4 linked regions of the Schizosaccharomyces pombe genome follow. The protein of the gene in region 3 purifies or fractionates together with the protein of the main gene of each other region. This does not show direct contact. Each region holds a gene or a part of one and is shown on either strand. Other genes may lie near its edges.

Evidence for each region.
Region 1: the proteins of tel2 (region 3) and tti2 purify together in Schizosaccharomyces pombe (affinity purification with mass spectrometry; 5 studies listed by BioGRID, with this or other methods). This does not show direct contact.
Region 2: the proteins of tel2 (region 3) and tra1 purify together in Schizosaccharomyces pombe (affinity purification with mass spectrometry; 3 studies listed by BioGRID). This does not show direct contact.
Region 4: the proteins of tel2 (region 3) and tra2 purify together in Schizosaccharomyces pombe (affinity purification with mass spectrometry; 3 studies listed by BioGRID, with this or other methods). This does not show direct contact.

What each region holds. Positions count from the first base shown.
Region 1 is NC_003423.3:3,898,392-3,902,098, forward strand, and holds tti2 (protein Tti2), read left to right. Parts: upstream 1-1,544; 5' UTR 1,545-1,655; coding exon 1,656-1,730; exon of another isoform or gene 1,731-1,774; coding exon 1,775-2,779; exon of another isoform or gene 2,780-2,827; coding exon 2,828-3,151; downstream 3,152-3,707. Other genes in the region: cmp7 (ESCRT III complex subunit), read left to right, coding at 27-428, 490-1,158; SPOM_SPBC1604.16C (G-patch type RNA-binding protein), read left to right, coding at 3,241-3,707. UniProt on the Schizosaccharomyces pombe protein: Component of the tel2-tti1-tti2 (TTT) complex that stabilizes protein levels of the phosphatidylinositol 3-kinase-related protein kinase (PIKK) family proteins.
Region 2 is NC_003423.3:1,902,416-1,907,316, forward strand, and holds the start of tra1 (SAGA complex, phosphatidylinositol pseudokinase subunit Tra1), read right to left. Parts: upstream 3,004-4,901; coding exon 1-3,003. Other genes in the region: ubiquitin-conjugating enzyme Ubc7, read left to right, coding at 3,384-3,572, 3,969-4,026, 4,076-4,329; ribosome biogenesis protein Yar1, read right to left, coding at 4,817-4,901. UniProt on the Schizosaccharomyces pombe protein: Essential scaffold subunit of the transcription coactivator SAGA complex. SAGA acts as a general cofactor required for essentially all RNA polymerase II transcription.
Region 3 is NC_003424.3:4,733,190-4,738,138, reverse strand, and holds tel2 (TTT co-chaperone complex LRR repeat subunit Tel2), read right to left. Parts: upstream 3,319-4,949; 5' UTR 3,278-3,318; coding exon 671-3,277; 3' UTR 541-670; downstream 1-540. Other genes in the region: dli1 (meiotic dynein intermediate light chain Dli1/Dil1), read left to right, coding at 1-534; SPOM_SPAC458.02C (mRNP complex protein), read left to right, coding at 4,324-4,419, 4,540-4,713, 4,811-4,949. UniProt on the Schizosaccharomyces pombe protein: Component of the TORC1 and TORC2 complexes required for the regulation of the cellular respons to changes in available nutrients. Required for normal entry into S phase. Regulates activation of the DNA replication checkpoint.
Region 4 is NC_003424.3:257,933-262,641, reverse strand, and holds the start of tra2 (phosphatidylinositol kinase-like protein Tra2), read right to left. Parts: upstream 3,032-4,709; 5' UTR 2,924-3,031; coding exon 2,860-2,923; intron 2,799-2,859; coding exon 1-2,798. Other genes in the region: plasma membrane potassium ion transmembrane transporter Trk2, read left to right, coding at 3,181-3,286, 3,327-3,481, 3,522-4,422, 4,458-4,709.

The sequences.
Region 1 (3,707 bases), on a different chromosome or scaffold from region 3:
TTTTTTTGAAGCTAATAAGCATATAGGCTTACTGGATCCAGCAAGGGGTTTGGCTTCGTAAGCAAGACTTTTTGAACGATTGTAAAAAAGGAAATTTAGTAAGAGAAGACGGTTTTTCTATTTTTTCAATTCTACGGTGGAGTTTTCAGAAACTTGGGTTTCAAAATCAAGCCTCATCCATATTGTCAAATAGATCCCCGAGTGGGCAGTATGTAATTCGAAAAAATATTGAGAAACTTGCTTGCCTTGTACACAATGAAGCAATGCGACGGTGCAGCAGCTATACGAGTGCAATTTATACTTGGGACTTTTTTCAAGATACTTTTGGAAGCTTATACTGGGAAGAAGGAAAATTAAACAAGGATGAGATGGAATGCCTTCTTAATTGGATGTGCTATCAAAAACATGTTTTAATATTTGATTCTAAGGTAAGTTCAGATTATATGTTTTCTCAGCTATTTGTCGATACCGTTTTTTTAACGAGAATAGATAATCAAGTTTTTACCCAACAGCCAAATTGATGCTCAATTAGCTTCAATTGATAAGTCTATTGATGGGTCTGTTGCAGATCTGATACAGGCTAGGGCATCCATCGCCCAAAGATCAGAATTTTTAAACGAGGAATTGGAGCAACTTTCACAAGTGCTAAACCAAGCAGTTAAAAAGGGAGAGAAAACAATAGCAATAACTTATTTACGTCGAAAAAAGATTTTGTCTAAAGATTTGGAAAGGAAAGTTTCTTCGCGTCTGCAATTAGATACTATAATTTCTAATATTGATAATGCGGTTGACAACAAAATTTTGCTTATTGCAATGTCTTCTGGCTCTGAAGCTCTAGACGCAATTTTAGCTCAAATGGGTGGAACTGAAAAAGTGGAAGATGTCTTAGAAAACGTAAATGATACACTGGCTCGTTCGGAAGAGATTGATGCAACTATTCAAACTTACAATCCTCAAAACATTGATTTAGAGGATGAAGCCGTTGAAAAAGAATGGCAGGATTTGGTAGCTGAAGAACAGAAGGTTGAAGATATCGTGTCTACATTAGGCAATGTTTCTCTAAAAACACCATCTGATACTTTTACCCTTACTAATACTGACTCGGATAAAAAGACTTCGAAACCGGAGAAGATTCAAGCTGAGCTGGTTGAGCAATAATTTATATACGTCCTTTTTTAACGATCACTTAAATTCACGGGAAATGGTTTGGTTTACTAATAATTTATGCACATACTAAAGAATAAATGAATACTATAAAAACATTTTTCTTGGTAATAACTATAAAAAACAATAATGCTTATATACTCAATAGAACTTATATAGCTAAAGCGATAAGGTAAAGTACCTGTGTAATGAATTGATGTTAGTTACTAAAAATTTTGCTTTTTATACCTTTAAAAACTAGTAAATTGTTAATTTATTAAATTGATTTCTTGGCAACGACTTAGAAACTTACAGTATATCACATACTCTATAAGTTTATATTATTAGTGTATGACCATAGCTTAACATGAAATACTTTTTTCATAGAATTTAAGTTCTCTAATAACTAAGTGACATTACAATTCTGTTAATATTCTTTGTTTACAAATCAAACAAATAATAAAACATTAGACTTAATAATTATCTAATAGAAGTTTAAATTGGCAATATCTATGCAATATTACAAAGAGCTAGCTAGGCGATTGCATACTCTACAATCAAAAAATGAAAAAGAAGCTCTTGAAAAAGTACCGTTTTTAATTCACTATTTTCAAATTTTAACCAAATATAGCAAATAGACTTTTTGGACAAATTGGTGGTAGAGGTGGACTCGTTGGTTCATGAACAAGATTTGAGGCCATTATTAGAGTTCATTAGCCCTACTGAAAGTTGGTTTTTACTGGGTACGGCGACAATTTTTTATATTAAATTATTAACTCATCCAGACCCTGAATCGATTGATGTAGTGATTAAAGAAGCGTATGTTGTGCGCGCTCACCGGATATTAAGCATTTTTCAAGAACAGTTTATAGAAAATGTTGTTAAAGAGATCAATTGGGAAATCCTAGCTATTTTAATATCATTAAGTGGAATCGAGAATGGACTTGTACGCAATTTGTCAGAATTCCTCTCAACTTCAATCCTCAGCGCTGTTCCTAGACAAAAATTCTTATTATATCTTCTAGAAAAGTATCAAATAAATCTTTTTCATAGAGAAGAACGGTTGACAGATCAAGGTAGACCGGTTGCATTTGAATTACCACCAGACAAATTTCACAGTGATCAAAGTAAAGCACTTCTTGAGCCAAAGTGGAAAACAAAAAATTATCTCATTTCTCACCTTATTTTTTGGATAATTGATCAGCAAAGTTCTTCTAGCATTGAAGTATGTTGGCACAGAATCATTCCATCTGTACTCCGAATATTGAATGATTTATCTCCAAACATTAAACTACAAGGAATTGAGCTAGTCAACAGATTGTTAAAAATTACGGAAAGAGAATTTCTTTTATATACTGGAATTCTAAAAATTTTGAAGGACGATTTGCTCGTATTCTATACTTTCATACCGCCAAGATTTACAATTCAAACGAGTGTTACCCTTATAAATGCCTCCTTCGCAACCCTAGTTTCTCTTTATCCTGAAGAAAATGAAAATTTAAATTCTATTATGCTGAACGGTATTAATTCTGTGTTTCAGTTTGCATTCGATTATCCCCTGATTCTTCAAGCCGCATTTTCTCAAATTATGGTTTTAACTGACAAAATGAATGTTAGTTATTTACCATACCTAACGGTAATAATTTAAATTCGTTACATTTGAAAGTTTACTAATCGCACTTAGTTGACTCTGGATGAACTGTGTCGTATAATACAAAACCCACAAATCATACAGATACCATCGACACTCTCCTTTTTTTTAGAAATATTAACAAAACTATTGGAAATTTACAGTTATCGAATATCTGCACACCATGTTGAGTTATTAATGGCACTAGTGGTTTGCAGTAGAAATTATATGCGATGTAACTTACAAGAGCATCACAATGCAATTGTACAAGCGCTTCAAAACCTCTTCACTTTGATAAAATTGAACATAACTGTTGAGCAACTCGGTGATTACAATGTAATATTGCCACTGCTTGAACCCCTGCAAATCCCACTTTGAGGTACATATAAGGAAAGACTCTCCTCATTACTAACCAACCTTCAACCTAGATAAATTGGTAACAATGGTTATTCGAAAAACGATGGAAAATGGAGAATAAAGGAAATATGGAGCTGTCAAATTCTTATGGTTTTTATAAAAATGGTCGTAGGGTTTCATTCGTAAAAGCCACTAGTGAACAATCGTTGGACGAAGCCACTTTTATTGAAAAAGGATCGGCACAAGCATTTTATCATTCGTTATTTGAAAATGATAGGGATAATTCGCATACTATGAACAGCAAGAGGGACGAAGCTGGTTTTGCTTGTGAAGTGTGTCAAATATACATTCCAAATAGCAAAAAAATTAATCATTTTAAATCAATGACTCACCTTCTTTCTTCACAACATATTTCAAACAAATTTCAACCCCATTTATTAAAACCAAAAAGCCTTGGTTATCGAGTTCTTTCTCAGTATGGTTGGTCTCCCCAAGGAGATACTGCTGGATTGGGTTTGGAAAATCAGGGTCGTCGTGCCCCGGTTAGAGCATTTCGTGTAAAAAATGATACGATTGG
Region 2 (4,901 bases), on a different chromosome or scaffold from region 3:
GACAATAGATCTTTGCAGATAATAAGATTCATCTTTGTCAGGGCACAACCTACCATTAGAGACTTGCTGTAAGTTTTTATCCATGCGATCTACAACTGCTCGGCACATTGTATCAATAGATTCCCAAAAGTCTTCATCGGGCTTCGCAGACGCAAAGAGTAATAAATACGAATTCTTGACCATTTGAAATGCTTGCTTCTTTTCTTCTAAATCGGAATTTTGATTGTTTAAAACAGCACATGAAGACATTAAAAATTTGGAGTGCTCTAAGCTAAAATTCTGAGAGGAGCCTTGGAAAGAAAACTGGATTGAAGGAAAAATATTTTCATCTTGCAAAAAATCAAAGCCAAAGGTACCAAGATATATTTGTCTATTTCGACCACCCATTTTTCCTAATATTCTCACAGCACTTTGATGCAATTGATTATTGGATTGATTAAGGCGTGAATGATTCCACAGGCATATCAGCAAATCCGGCATAATTGAGTCCAATAAAGGATCCAAAAATTCTTGAGTAAGATTATCCAAGCAAAGTTCAAATATTCGAAGCCCTTGACTAGCTATTTCAGGGGGGCCTTTTAATGCAACAATCAATGGCTTCATTAAAAAATTCATATGAGGCAACAACACACTGAGTCTAATGGGTAAAGTCAAACAAAGTTCCGCATACAGCTCTTTTTGGGATGTAGACGTAACAGTAAAAATCAATCTGTTGAAACATTCTAGCATTACTTGGAGAAGTGGTAGTATTTCCTTGTAAAGAGAATCAAATTTTCCTCCACTGATATTTCTAAACAAAGCTTTCATTAAATAAACGTAATTTAAAGGTTCAACAGCATCAGTAGTCAATTCGAGGCTAGTTGAAATGATATAGGATATATGGGGACGCAGGACTTCTGCATTTTTTTCGGGAAAAACATTCACAGTCATAAAGGCCAACTTGAATAATCGCAATAAAACAGAAACCCGAGTGGATTGGCCAGACCCTATTTTAGCTAGATTGTCACAGCAAAAAGACAGCACGATGCCCGTGCAGTTGACAGAAGTAACTTCATTAGACATCCAAAATTGGAAAATATGCAATAAAGCAAGATTATCTACTAGACACTCAAATATATTCGGAAACTCGGATTCCAAAATTTCGACGAAAACAGATGGGTCCAAGTGTAAAAATAAAGTTGCTAACATTTCTAAGAGCTCCTTCTCTTCTAAGAGTTTAGAAGGGTTTGTGGTCAACGAAGAATCAAGTTGAGAGTATGCAAGATTTTTCGAGGACTTGAATACACCGGTTTTTTCATCTGTCTGGTAATAACTGAATCCCTTTAAACTTTCCACAAGTAATCTTCGAAACAGTAAAACTTCATTAGTTGAACTAAGATGTAACTTTTCAGACCATTCCTGAGCTGTAAAAATGGAACCGTTGGCAAGAGGAATATTTCGTTGCTTTAGTCCAAACAAAACAGGCTTAATACCTAATAAGGTGTTTTTAAAAAGAAATATGCAATCTTTTAGCTTATCCAAACCTGAAGGTTGGGCAGCTCCAGTAGGGTTCTCAAACATAGGAAGATCATGTTTATTTTCTTCTATTTTAATTTGCTTTAAGTCAGCATTTTCCTGTAAAGAATCTCTCAGCTTCATAAACTCGAAATTCAGAGAAGTCAATTTTCTTAAGAGACATAAAAGTATAGCAAATAGAAGTGATCGGCTAGTGGAAAAATCTTCTAGTGCAACAATTCTTTCAACCAAGTTTAAAATAAGCTTTGTAGCCATTGCCTGAATAGCTGAAGTATAAAAGTCGTCCATCAAAATACTGAAATAAAGAAGTATGACTTTGTAAATTTGTTGTGGACTTAATTCCATACGCACATAATGAAGCATATCTGCCAGCATGCTAAAAGCCATGGGTCGTAATGAATGCTGAGAAGTGATTCCAGAACCAACTAGAATTTTGGTATCAAGTAGTTGATCTACATACGGTAGAAACCCTCTCAAATAATCCGTCGATAAGACGTGCCTTGTAGCTACCAAAAGTTCTCTTCGAGTCTGATATAATTCGGAAGGACAGTCCATGAACAATTGCAAGGTACATATTGGGATCGAGCTTTCAAACTGTTTAAGAGCAGCACCAAAACTTCTCAATAAATAGGCGAGAAAAGAGAATGATTTAATTTGCGCAGAAATAAGGTCATTGTAAAGATGATTTCGACGCAAAGAAGGGACTACACCAATAAAAACCTCTTTTTGAGATTCTGCAAGTCGACGAGCTTCGGCTTGAGGTGGAGGACGAAGTGAGATAAATTGAAGTACAAGCGGAGCAAGTAAAGGAAGCATTTTCGGAATAAGATCTTTGTATGTTTGAAATAGGAGAAAGACGATAATGGGAAATTCAGCAGTGACCTTGAAACTCGAAGAAGCTTTTGGGATCATTTTTGGACCTGCATGTTCCATTCCAATTTCAGCAGGAGATGCAGAAGATGCAGCAGACATGGGATGAGAGGATGGAGTATTCGGAGCTGATCTAGGTGGGAAAGCTTCTGAAACAACTGTGGTCATGGATTTGTAGTTTTCAACGACAATGGATAAAAATTCCTGAACATGTCCCTTAGCAAGGCTACTGTGGTCCTTAAAAAGAAGGACAACAAGCTTCAATGCCAACACTGCCATCTCTTCATTATCATTAACGACTATACGAAGAAGCACGGCAAAAGTCCGATTAACGAATGCTTCAAAACCTTTATAGGATCCAGATTTCTTGAGCAATTCAAGCAATGCAATGCGTAAACGATGTGTAGCTGCTAACGATGAAAATACAGGACGTTCCTTTTCAAGCAAAGACAACGTGTCCTCCAAAAGAGGAATGAAAGTTTCAAAATTCGTCTTTTCAGTTACCAACACATCATCCAGTGCATCTCGAATTTCAATTGCTGTGTTTGCCTTTTGCTTCGAGTCTAATCCAACATCACAAAGCCGATTATGCCAATGTTCGCATTGTGATACATCCATCAGATGCTTGGATCTCTGCGCAAGCTCTTTTTTAAATTCCAATTGCACTCGGATACGTTTTCCTAAGTATTTAACAATTACTATTGGAATGTTGTGGGATAGAGCAAGCTGCATTTCTTTCCTCTAAATCACTTTATGAATTTTACATGTTTTCGCTATTTTAATTAACGGCCTTATTATTTTGTGCGGTAGAAGTTGCTAAAATGATGAACGAGATAAAAATAGCGAGTGATACCACAAAAGTTCGTTTAGCCTCAGCTGCATAATTTGTCGTAAACAAACCATTCATTCATTAATCTGTTCATTACCATTTTTAGGCTACCTTTTAGTCAGTGATCTTTAATATATCTTACCGATTAGTAAGTTAATTGATTTCCAAAATGAGTAAAGCTATGGCGTTGCGACGGTTAATGAAGGAGTATAAGGAGTTAACGGAGAATGGGCCTGATGGTATTACTGCAGGTCCATCGAATGAGGATGATTTCTTTACTTGGGATTGCCTAATTCAAGGCCCTGATGGAACTCCATTTGAAGGTGGGTTATACCCTGCTACCTTGAAATTTCCTTCCGTAAGTCCTTTACTATAAACCTGATGGAGACTGAACATGTGATTTAAGTTGTGGATAAGTATGATGTTTCGCATGTTTTATGTATCAACTACTTATTAAAAAATACGCGCTCTTTTTCATAAATTAACATTTGTTCAGCGTAAATAAAGAAAGTAACTCAATAATCCATTCGTTTAGAATGATCATTTAAGAGAAGTGCTTTTATTCATTAGTAATTGATGAATCCTTCGATTTATTGATGAGTAGGAAGAAATTTTATTTAAAAGATCTATCTAAGTTTTTTTTTGGGGGTTTGGTTTCTTTCTTTGAATCGCATGGCAGTACATCCGGGGTGTTCAAGCGCACGTTGATACGTGCTTAGTTTTATTTTTATTGGATTCTAACTTTTTTATGTAGGATTATCCTCTTGGCCCCCCTACTTTAAAGTTTGAGTGTGAATTTTTCCATCCAAATGGTATGCCAGATACTATTAATCCAAATTTCGAGACTAACCTTCATTTCAGTTTACAAAGATGGGACGGTTTGCATTTCCATCCTACATGCACCTGGTGACGATCCAAATATGTATGAGTCGTCTTCAGAACGTTGGTCTCCTGTTCAATCTGTTGAAAAAATACTGTTATCGGTAATGTCGATGTTGGCGGAACCAAACGATGAAAGTGGTGCTAACATCGATGCGTGCAAGATGTGGAGAGAAGATCGAGAAGAATATTGTCGTGTAGTTCGACGATTGGCTCGTAAAACCTTGGGATTATAACCATGAATTGTATATTTGATTAGATTGCCATGAATAACGAACCTGATAAAATCTAGAAATAAAGTTTTGTTCCATTTTTGAACGCAACCGGTAGGCTTTTCTCTTTCTATTCCAACGTATAACGCTACATAGGTTTAATTACAAGGTTTAAACAAAAATGAAAGCACTTTTCCAATTCAATTTCTATCTGTAAATGATGGAAGATAAACATTTTGTCTATTGAGATAATCCATCTTTTAATAAACATCACTTGAACTTTCTACACAGATACATGGCAACGTACATCGCTGAAAACGAATTATATTGAGAAAACATCTAGAAATTACACAGTAAAAAACTTAACAAAATATAAGAATAACCCCAAATTATGCTCCAAAAGAAAAAAAAAATGCATCAGGTGCATAAAAATATTAGCTTCCCACAACCTACAAAAGAAAGAGGTAAATTTTTTTACAAAATAAAAATCAGAAATTATCAAATAAAACGATCATATTCCATCTTCCAATTTTTCTTCATCACCAGTGTTTTCTTCACTACCTTTAGCAATCTCAAAATCCAGAAAAAGGTCCATT
Region 3 (4,949 bases):
GCTTTAGGCTTGCATACCTCAGTCGATAATTCACAGGAATTTATTTTACAGTTTTTGCGAACGACACTTTTATCCGTACCAACGTCCTCAATTGTTTCTATCTCAGCGGACCCAACAAGCTGGAATAATCTCAACGTTTTAATGAAGTATAATTTTATGTTTCAAAAGTTTAAACCTCGAGATTTTCATGCTCAAACAATTCAATCAGAAACTATGTTTATACCTCCTTGTTGGGACACTATCTCTAAAATACAGAGTGTCAATCATGAATTTAATATCGCCCTTTTTAAACAAACCGCTAAAAATTTTTACGATACTCTTGACATAAGTTTATTACTTGGTTTATTTGATAAGAGTATATCGATGTTGAACTGTCATTCCTCAAAAATATCGGATGGAGATATACCCTACAAATCGCACCAAGTTTTTTTGCAAGAACTACAGAACAAGTATAGCGAGATTAAAACGTATTCTTCAAACAAATTAAATAAATCCTCCATAAAATCAAGTTTGTGGAAGGACTTAATTCAATAATTGTAATTGGCCTAAAGACATTCATTATTATTACAAAATCATATTATTTAATTAAAATGCATTAATGAGTTTCTGTCAAAATTTCAACCTCATAAATAATATTTTTTTTCTTTTAAATCATGACCATAAAGAACTATTAAAGTCCGGCTAATCCAAATCGCTCTGGAACCAAAGGAGCTGAGTCATCCAGTAATTTTTCCAATGCGAGCGTTCTGAATTCTGAAAGTTTATTTTCAAATAGAATTAAAACAGCTGCTGAGAGTGACTTAACTTTCTCACCTTGATCAGGGCTTTCAAAAAGAAACTTAGTATACGCCTCAAAGAAGAGCAAATGCTTCCCAAACTCATTAGCTAAAGTACGCCCAGAAGATATTTCTAAGATAGCCAAAAAACTAAACAAAAGCCCTTCATTAACTTCTGGAGTGTCTGATCGAAGTCGGCAGACCTCATTTAAAACGTCAACATATTCCCGGAGCATTCTGTTTGCCCCTTCTATCTTTGAGGTAAAAGTTTCAAAAAAGAGAATACCCAATGTCTTAAGATAGTAGACTAAAAACAAAGGCTCAATAAAAGCCGTTTTCCTAGATGCCAGCATATAACCACTGGTGAGGAGCAGGAACAATGATTTATCTACCTTAAGCGATAATCGATTGGCCTTTGGGAGTGGCTTTTTCGACTCGATTTCCGACTGCTTTGAAATATACCGTGTCTGTAAGAATTTCGGTCCCTCCGCATAATCCTTGCATTCACTCATTACCGGAAAAACTAATTTCCTTTCTAATTCATCACTAATCTTTTCAATAGTGGGTGAATAAAACTGATCGTGTAAATTTCCTGGAAGTAACTGGCTGGGAAAAAGACGTTCATTATCATCATCGTTGAATTTGCTAGCAGCTAAAGAAATACAAGATAAGATAAGTATTTTTTGGCGCATTGAATAGTCACTAACAAATAAATTTGTACAAATAACAGGACCACATATATCTAAACAGGTTAACAGAAGTTCCACTATAGCAGTCATTTGCATTTCATCAAAGTTCATTAAGTCAAATCGATTTTGTAAGGAAATTAACGTTTGTAACAATTCATCTGCATGATCTCGTAATTCGGTTCCAAAAGCAGACTTTCGTTTTATTAACTTAGAAGCGTTTTCCAGTGCAACACGTTGTTTCTCAAAACTTTCTGTGTCTTTTAACATTTTGCACAAATCTTGTACGTACACAGGAGAATGCGTCTTGGATCTAGAGACAGTTGGATCGTCGTCCGTGTCCTCACTGTCAATATCAGGAAAATCGTAAGGCTCCAAGTCATCTCCCCTTATTAAGTCATCGTTTTTAGAAATCACTGGCTTCTCCAAGTGAGTTACATTCGTCTCTTCCTTTTCTATCGAAGTCTCTGCGATAACACTTTCGTCATTCAAAATTTCAATAGGCAAAAATTCATCCTTGAGTGAGCTCAACGATTTGAGAACTTTTGCTTTCGTAGTCTTCATTATTGGAACGTCAAAGGCTAACGGGTTACTTAAGCTGACACCCGAATATGTAGAGATTACTTCGGCCATTATCATTCCATGCATTCGAATATCATCATCTAGACTATCTAAACGGCAAGATATTGCATTGGAGAACATTAGGGATTTGGAAAGATTATTCAAATATTTTGCTTCAAGTTTCGGAATAAATAGTAATAAATATATTGTTAAGCTCTCTTGAGCTAGCAGCGTATAGCTCCTCAAAAATTGCGCATTTGACCATATATTAAACAGAGAGTCCACTGTTTTTTCTAGCTCCTTTTTATCAGATTCCTTATAAGATATACTCGAACAAACTACTTCTACCCTTTTAATTATTAAATTTGTAGGGACGCCCCAATAAAATTCAATTAATCGAAGGAAGTGAGTGGATGAAAAGTTCAGCCTTAATAATGTAGCCAATGAACCTGTTATACGATCATCTCTTGCGGTGGAATATGAAAAATTGGTGGGATATTTGGTATTATGTTCAAGAAGAAGTTGATTGAGAAACAACATTTGATCAGAGACCGTCAAATCTGCAAATAATTTTTGTAGCTGAACACAAAATTTTTGTGTTAATGGAATCAATGGGTTAATGAATGCCTTTAAATTGGATGAGTGTAATAAATAATGGAATAGCTTTGAATATATTTCTGGGGTTTTAACAGCAGGTTTAGATATAATGCAAGCCAATTTTGAAGATAAAACGCCAATGTAGTCGGCCATTGATGAAGCCTTCAAACGTTTTGAATCATCGTAAACCTTGAAGGTAAGCATTGCAGCAGACATTGAATTAGTAATTTTAAAGTTTCCCAAGAAAAAAATAAATTCAGTCCACAAAGATTGCTTTTGATGATCAGATAATACAGTAGATTCCCATATCAATTTACAGTTATCGTCAAGGTCTATACATTCAAATGCTTTTTCCAGTAGCTCAAGATAAACTGTAACAAGATGAATGTTTTGCAAATTAGCCTCTTGAACAAAATTATCTAGTCGAACACATAGCAGTTTTAAGCCCAAAAGAGTAGAAAAACATTTTGCAAGGAGAAAATCTATTTCTGAATTAATTTTCCCATTCCAGAATGTGGGCACTATCACACTAATTAACTCATGATATAATCTTAGATTGCAAGGAGAAGGAACACCTATATGCTGCAGTTCTTTAAGGATTTCTTTTAAACGCGGCTTTTGAATAGGTTTGGATAGTTCGCTAGCAAAGGATTTCATATCCTTGGAGTTGAAAAATAACCGAATTATTTTGGGGTGTTGAGAAGACAGTAACCTTCGGTGGATTAATTCACCGGTCAGCAATCAGCAATATGCAGGATTATAGGCTGCTTGGCTAAAACAACACCAAAACTCTTTACAAAGTATATAGTTATTTTTAATTTGTTGTCCATGTAAATTACTTTAAATTCTATTAATTGTTTTTCATTCTATAAAGGTAATTTGAACTCAATTCATATAGTTTTTTAAATTGTGCTCTTAAACTTCCTGAGAATGGTGTATGCAACAATTACATGGGTAGCATCGGGATATTCTGTGAAACCTGTAAAGCTCTTCGATGTATTATTTTCACGGACTTTTCACAGCCTGAAATTGAATAGGAACTTACAATTTACGTGACAGAAAAAGGATATTATGTATAATTTAACTTAAAGACATTTTGTGCTTATATGCAATAGTTGTAACAAAAGAATGGATAGTTATGCTTTCAAATTCGCTTTCTATAAGTGAAGTATCCTGTTGCTTTATAAGACTAGTTGCAATATTTCTATTTGCTTTTAAAAAGCAAGTAACTTTTAGTTTAAAACTGTTTTTGTGTACCTCCCAAATTAAATGTTAATGCTCCGCTAATCGGTAAGCTAATCCGTGAGAAAAAATGCATTAATTTTTCTTGTTTCGTTCAAGTCAACACATTGCAAATAAAGGTCACTAAATTTACAATTCAGGATTTTTAAATTGAAATATTAAACATAATACGTGGACGAGTGCAAAAAACTACCAGTTTATTTAAATAAATAAAAAAAAAATATCATAACATGTATTATCGTAATCTTTTCCTTAGACTGCTCTTCACACGATGTCTGAATAACCGTCAACAAAAAGCTATTTATAAAAATTTCAGAAACAGGTAGTCTCCTTCACAGCACTGCGAACGAAAACTCTAGGGAAGCAAAACAAACGGAGTTTATCTGCCTTGTTATATACTCGTTAAACGACAACTCAACACACACCACTATCCACCACCAACAACAAAATCCTTAATAAAAATGTCATCTCATAAACCCGTTCGTCCTAATGAAGCTCTTCACAAGGAGGCTTTGGAGGAGCTTGATGCTAAGATCAACGAGGCGAAAAAGCGTTTCGTAAGTAGTTTTAAATTCTTGAATATTGAAGGCTAAGCTTTTTTTTTTTTTCATAACTATGAAAGCTTCAAAAAATCACTTGTTTCTTATATAGTTTTCGCATCTTAACTAATCAACTAGAATGAGCATAAGGAGAAGCTTGGTGCCATTCGCGGTGGTGGTTCATTGCAGGAGAAGAATGCAGAACTTCGCGCTGAATTAGACAATATTCGCAATGCTCAAGCAGCTATCCGTTCTTCTAAGCAAACTCTCATCAACAAAGTCAAGGCTCAAGATGAACTTTTGAAAAAGAAGGTATGTTTTGCATTAATATATGTAAGCACTAAAGTTTTGTGTTGGAAAACTTTATGAGCTTGGTAAAGAAACAAAATGTTTACTGACATACTTTTAGGTTAAGGAGTTGACTGCCATGAAAAAAACTGTTCCTTTCAAGTCAGAAGTGGAGCTTGATAAACATGTTAAACAACTTCAAGCCGCCGTTGACTCAGGAACTTTAAAGATTGTTGATGAGAAGAAATACCTGCGTGAAA
Region 4 (4,709 bases), 4.5 Mb from region 3:
AGTACATCGAATGGATGAGGCTAAGCTGTTAGTAGCGTCACTCTTATAAACATAGAGCTTTGAAATATTGCAAACATAAGTGAACGCTTGTTGCTTAACCTCCAGATCACTAGAAGGGCTAGAAAGCAAATTCACAGCCTCATCAACATATTGGGTGTAATGTAAAAGTTGTGGTTGTTTAACCCCTTTTATCGAAAGAAGTAAAGTAAAATCGTTATTCGGTTCCGGCGAATTCTTTAAACTCTGGACTCTATCAAGAAGCTTCCTATTTCTTCCACCAAGTTTACCAAGTATTTTCAAGGCAGTATGGCTGTGATTATAATTATAAGGAAGAGGTTGTAGATGACTCCATAAAGCATTCATTAGATCTTCTATGTAAGGAGCCATTATCGGATCCAAAAAATCAGGAGTGAGATTATCCAAGCATAATTCAAAGGTTCGTAATCCCTGACTAACTAATTCTTGACTGCTTTTTAAAGACATGACGAGAGGTCTCATTAGATAACTCATGTATGGTAATAAAAGACTAAGCCTTACAGGAATAGTAAGACAAAGTTCGGTAAAAAGGTCTTTCTCCTTCGGAGTACGGGCAGATATAAGCAATGAATTAAATGCCTCTAATAGAGCGTGCAACAAAGGCATTACTTCTTTATAAAGGCTTTCAAATCTTCCCCCACCAATTCCTCGGAACAACGCTCTTAATAGATAATAGTAGTTCAATGAATTAGCAGAATTGGGAGCCAACTTCATACATTTCACAATAATTTCAGATACATAAGGCCGAAGAACTGGCTCATTCTCTGTTGCAAACATTGAGACTGTAACGAAAGAAAGACGAAACAAACGCAACAAGACAGAACCATGCCTGATGTCAGAAGATCCGAGTTCCTCAATTCTGGAAAGCAGAAATCGAAGTAAAATATTTAAAAATTTTGATGATGTGCTCTCATTTGAAAGCAAAAACTGTGGAATGTGAAATAATGTGAGATTTTTTTTAAGTTGATCAAAAAAAGTAGGAAGGTTTGTTTCAAAAACTTTAAGAAATATAGATGGCTCGAGATGTATAAAAATGGTAGCAAATACTTCAAGACAATCTTTCTCGTCTTTGTTACGAGGAAGCGTAGATATAGCAGGGCGATCTAAACTTTCTTCTTCGCAGCAGAAAAAAGTTTCTAAATAGACTTGCTCAGGTCGAAAATATGAGAATCCTTTGCCAACCTCAAAAAAAAGCTTCTGAAACGTAACAGCTTCGAAAGGCTTGATATTCGTAAGGAATCCCGAAAATTGTTCACCTCCAATTTCTATGCATCGAGACTTGCATGTACGAAGCCCATACATAAGAGCCCGTAAGCCAAACATCAAGTTTTTAAAAAGAAATGATCCATCATTGACGGAAGTGCTAAATGAAGATAAATCCCTAGGAGAAGAACGCGTCGGTGACTTTGTCTCTTTAATTTCTTCTTCATACTTTTTCTTAAAAAACTGATCCAAACTATCATTAAGTTCCGAAAACTTATTTACAAAGCTATCAAAAATAGATAAAAGAAGAAATATAGCATCGGGGATGCTAGGAAGACTAATCATTCTGTCAACCATGTTTAAAATGAGCCGGGCACCCATAGTCTGTAACCCAATGCTAAGAGTCAAATCATGCATATTGGTCGAATAAATCATTATAGATTTTCTTATTTGCGTTTCGTTAAGTTCGTCACGTACATGATGAAGTAAGTCAGCTAATGTACTAAATGCCAAGGGACGTAACAGCTTTTGAGTACCAACTCCATTTCCTAATAATATATTTAAATCTAACAAAAAATCCAGCTTTTTGACAAAAAGAGATTTTAAGTTTGTTGACAGAATATGTCTCGTAGCAACCAGCAGTTCTTTACGGGCAAAACACATATCAAAAGGGCATCGCCTCAAAAGCTTTATTACAATGTCCGGTATTATATCCTTCTCAGAAAGTGTATTGGGATGAGTTCGTAAAATATAAGCCAAGAAAGATAAAGTCTTTACTTGAGCCATAAAAAAATTACGGTACTGATATTTATTCCTTATAAACTCAATAAAGTCAATGCTTGAATCTTTTTCAATCATTGCATATGAAGCGATGTCTATTGGAACATCAATTTGTACCATCTTAAGAAAACAGGGAATTATGGCTTGAACACCAGGGAAAGCAGCTTGACGATATGCTTGAAGAATCAAAACTATAATGACCGGACACTCTACATACACGCGGAAACTTTGAGAAGCCAGTTCCAAAGGTTGAGTAGAAATAGCTAAAGAATTGACACGCTGTTGGATGATTGAAGTTTCCGTAGACAGATAACTACCAAAAGCCAGGGTTGTATTTTCCTCTTCATTTGATTTTGGATTCTCGACAAATATTGAGGGAATTAAATAAGGAAGGTTTGTAGAAAGCTCAAGTACCAAGTCAAAAAAGGGTTGTGCAGTGCTTTCTATACAAAACTTAAAAGTTTTGAATATATCCATAATAACTTTTAAGCAAAAAACAGCGACTTCTTCATTATCTGCTTTAATCAAGCTAATGAACGAAAGCACACAAGACTGCGCATATTGTTTAAATTCATCACGGTGAGCGCAACTTTGTATTAAAGTCAATGCTTCGATCTTGAGTTCATTGACAGAAGAATTTCTATAAAGATTCACCTCTGTATTTCGTAAAAAATCCAAGAGTAGTGGAATTAATTCTGCATACAGCTGCGAGGCGTCTGAAGATATGCTAGAAACCTTAGTAATTAAAATTTTAGTTAGTTTGATTTTTTCTTCTATTTCTTAAAAAAAGTTAGTATAAAATAAAAAAATGAATCAAAATATCTACAAAAATTTATATACCTGTACTTTCAGCTTTCAGTAGCTCTATAGAGCTGCTGAGCGACTTTTCAAAACCGTCTTCCATAACAAAGTTCGGTCCATGCAGATACTTTTTAATAAATCTTTGAAACCAAACTTGATACACTACGAGATTTTGGACACAGCTGTAAAAAAGCACAGAACGATTACTGTCAGATGTTGTTTAGTTGTTGCTATGTTCAAGGTGAATCGTATAGTGAGGACGCAAAACTGCACTATTCAAGAAGCCACTGAAGCTATTTGAAATCGACGTGAGTGTAATTTTTATCAAATACAATATAATACTGCTTTATAAACTATGACATGTTTGTACGATATAGAAGGTTTTTAAGAAGGAAAATATTATACAGATTTTATCATGCAGTTATCGGGTTTTTCTACAAACGGTTCCGGTTCCTTGAATACCATTGTATGTGAAAAACTTCTTTTCAAGCCTAACTTTGTTCAAGATTCTTTTATAATAGGAATGACTATTTTATGTTCAGTAATATTGTATGGGTCGGGAAATTTGCGCTACATAGATGCTTTGTTGTTGGCTTCTGGTTCTTGTACTCAGACTGGCTTGCAGCCTGTGGACCTCACGCAGATATCCATTTACCAACAGGTATGCATATTTTTAAATAAATTTTTTAACTATTTTTTAGTTAACTATTCTCCTTTTTGGAGTTTTGAGTACACCAATTACTGTGAACCTGGGCTTGACTTTGTTTAAGCTGTACTTCTATAACAAGCGATATGACATGGTCATAACAAATAATAAACTTAGGATGACATATACTTATCACACTGTAAGAAGAAGGGATACTCCAGAGCCTTCCAAAGTTGGCAATCGAAAAATTCGGGTTTTGTTAGACCAGGGTAATCAAATGCACCGGCCAGTTGCCCCAGAGACTAAGGCTGAGGAAGCTGAACACCAAGAGAATGAAAAACATCACAGGCACCATTTTCGTCTAAGGAAATTTGCTAATGCAATCGATCGCCCAAGCTTCTTTCGCGGGAATACCATGCCCGCTCTCCCTAGTTATGCAGGTGTTAGAAATTCTCAAGAAAATGAAGACAGAACTGAAGCATTAAGTCCAGCTCTTGGGAAACGAAGAATGGCATCAATCGACAATGGATCTTTATCCGTTGTACAAAACAATGCTAGAAATAATCCTGTCGACTTTTACATTCCTAGTTCGTTTGAAGAATCATCTTTTCAAACAATTCCTGAGGATTTTGAGCCTCAAGTACATGACCACGAGAATCAAACACAACTGAACCATCATCTGGATAACAACAGTTCTATCTCTTCGCACAATCCTTCCCTAGAAACTGCAAATGATGGTAATCAGGAAACTGTTTCATCCTCAAACTCAAACTACAGCACAACAAGAGTTGACAATGATCCACATGTAGCATCTTATTCACCTCAAAATTCGAATTTTGATCATCAGGCTGCTGCAACTACTAACGATGCACATCAAAATGTAGTACGCGGCTCTGCAATTACCATTGCACCAACCCCTGTTCCCAGGCATAATCGCAGGCCTATATATTTTGCTGGTAAGTCATTCCGTGATTTTAATATTGACCTTTAGATGACACGAATGGAGCTGAGCAGGAAAAAGGTGCTCATCGACTTGATGGACGAGGTAGAAAACGTGGTAAATCATTTGCTGTTACACCTACACTTCACAGGAATGAGCGCTCAATGTCTGTCCTACCATTTCAATTAGCCAAATCATTTACATCTGCTCTTCCTCGAAGACTCACATTCAACCGTACTCACACGAAAGCTAGCACAATGAGTTTACCTTATTTATCGTACAATGCAACAGTGGGCAGAAATT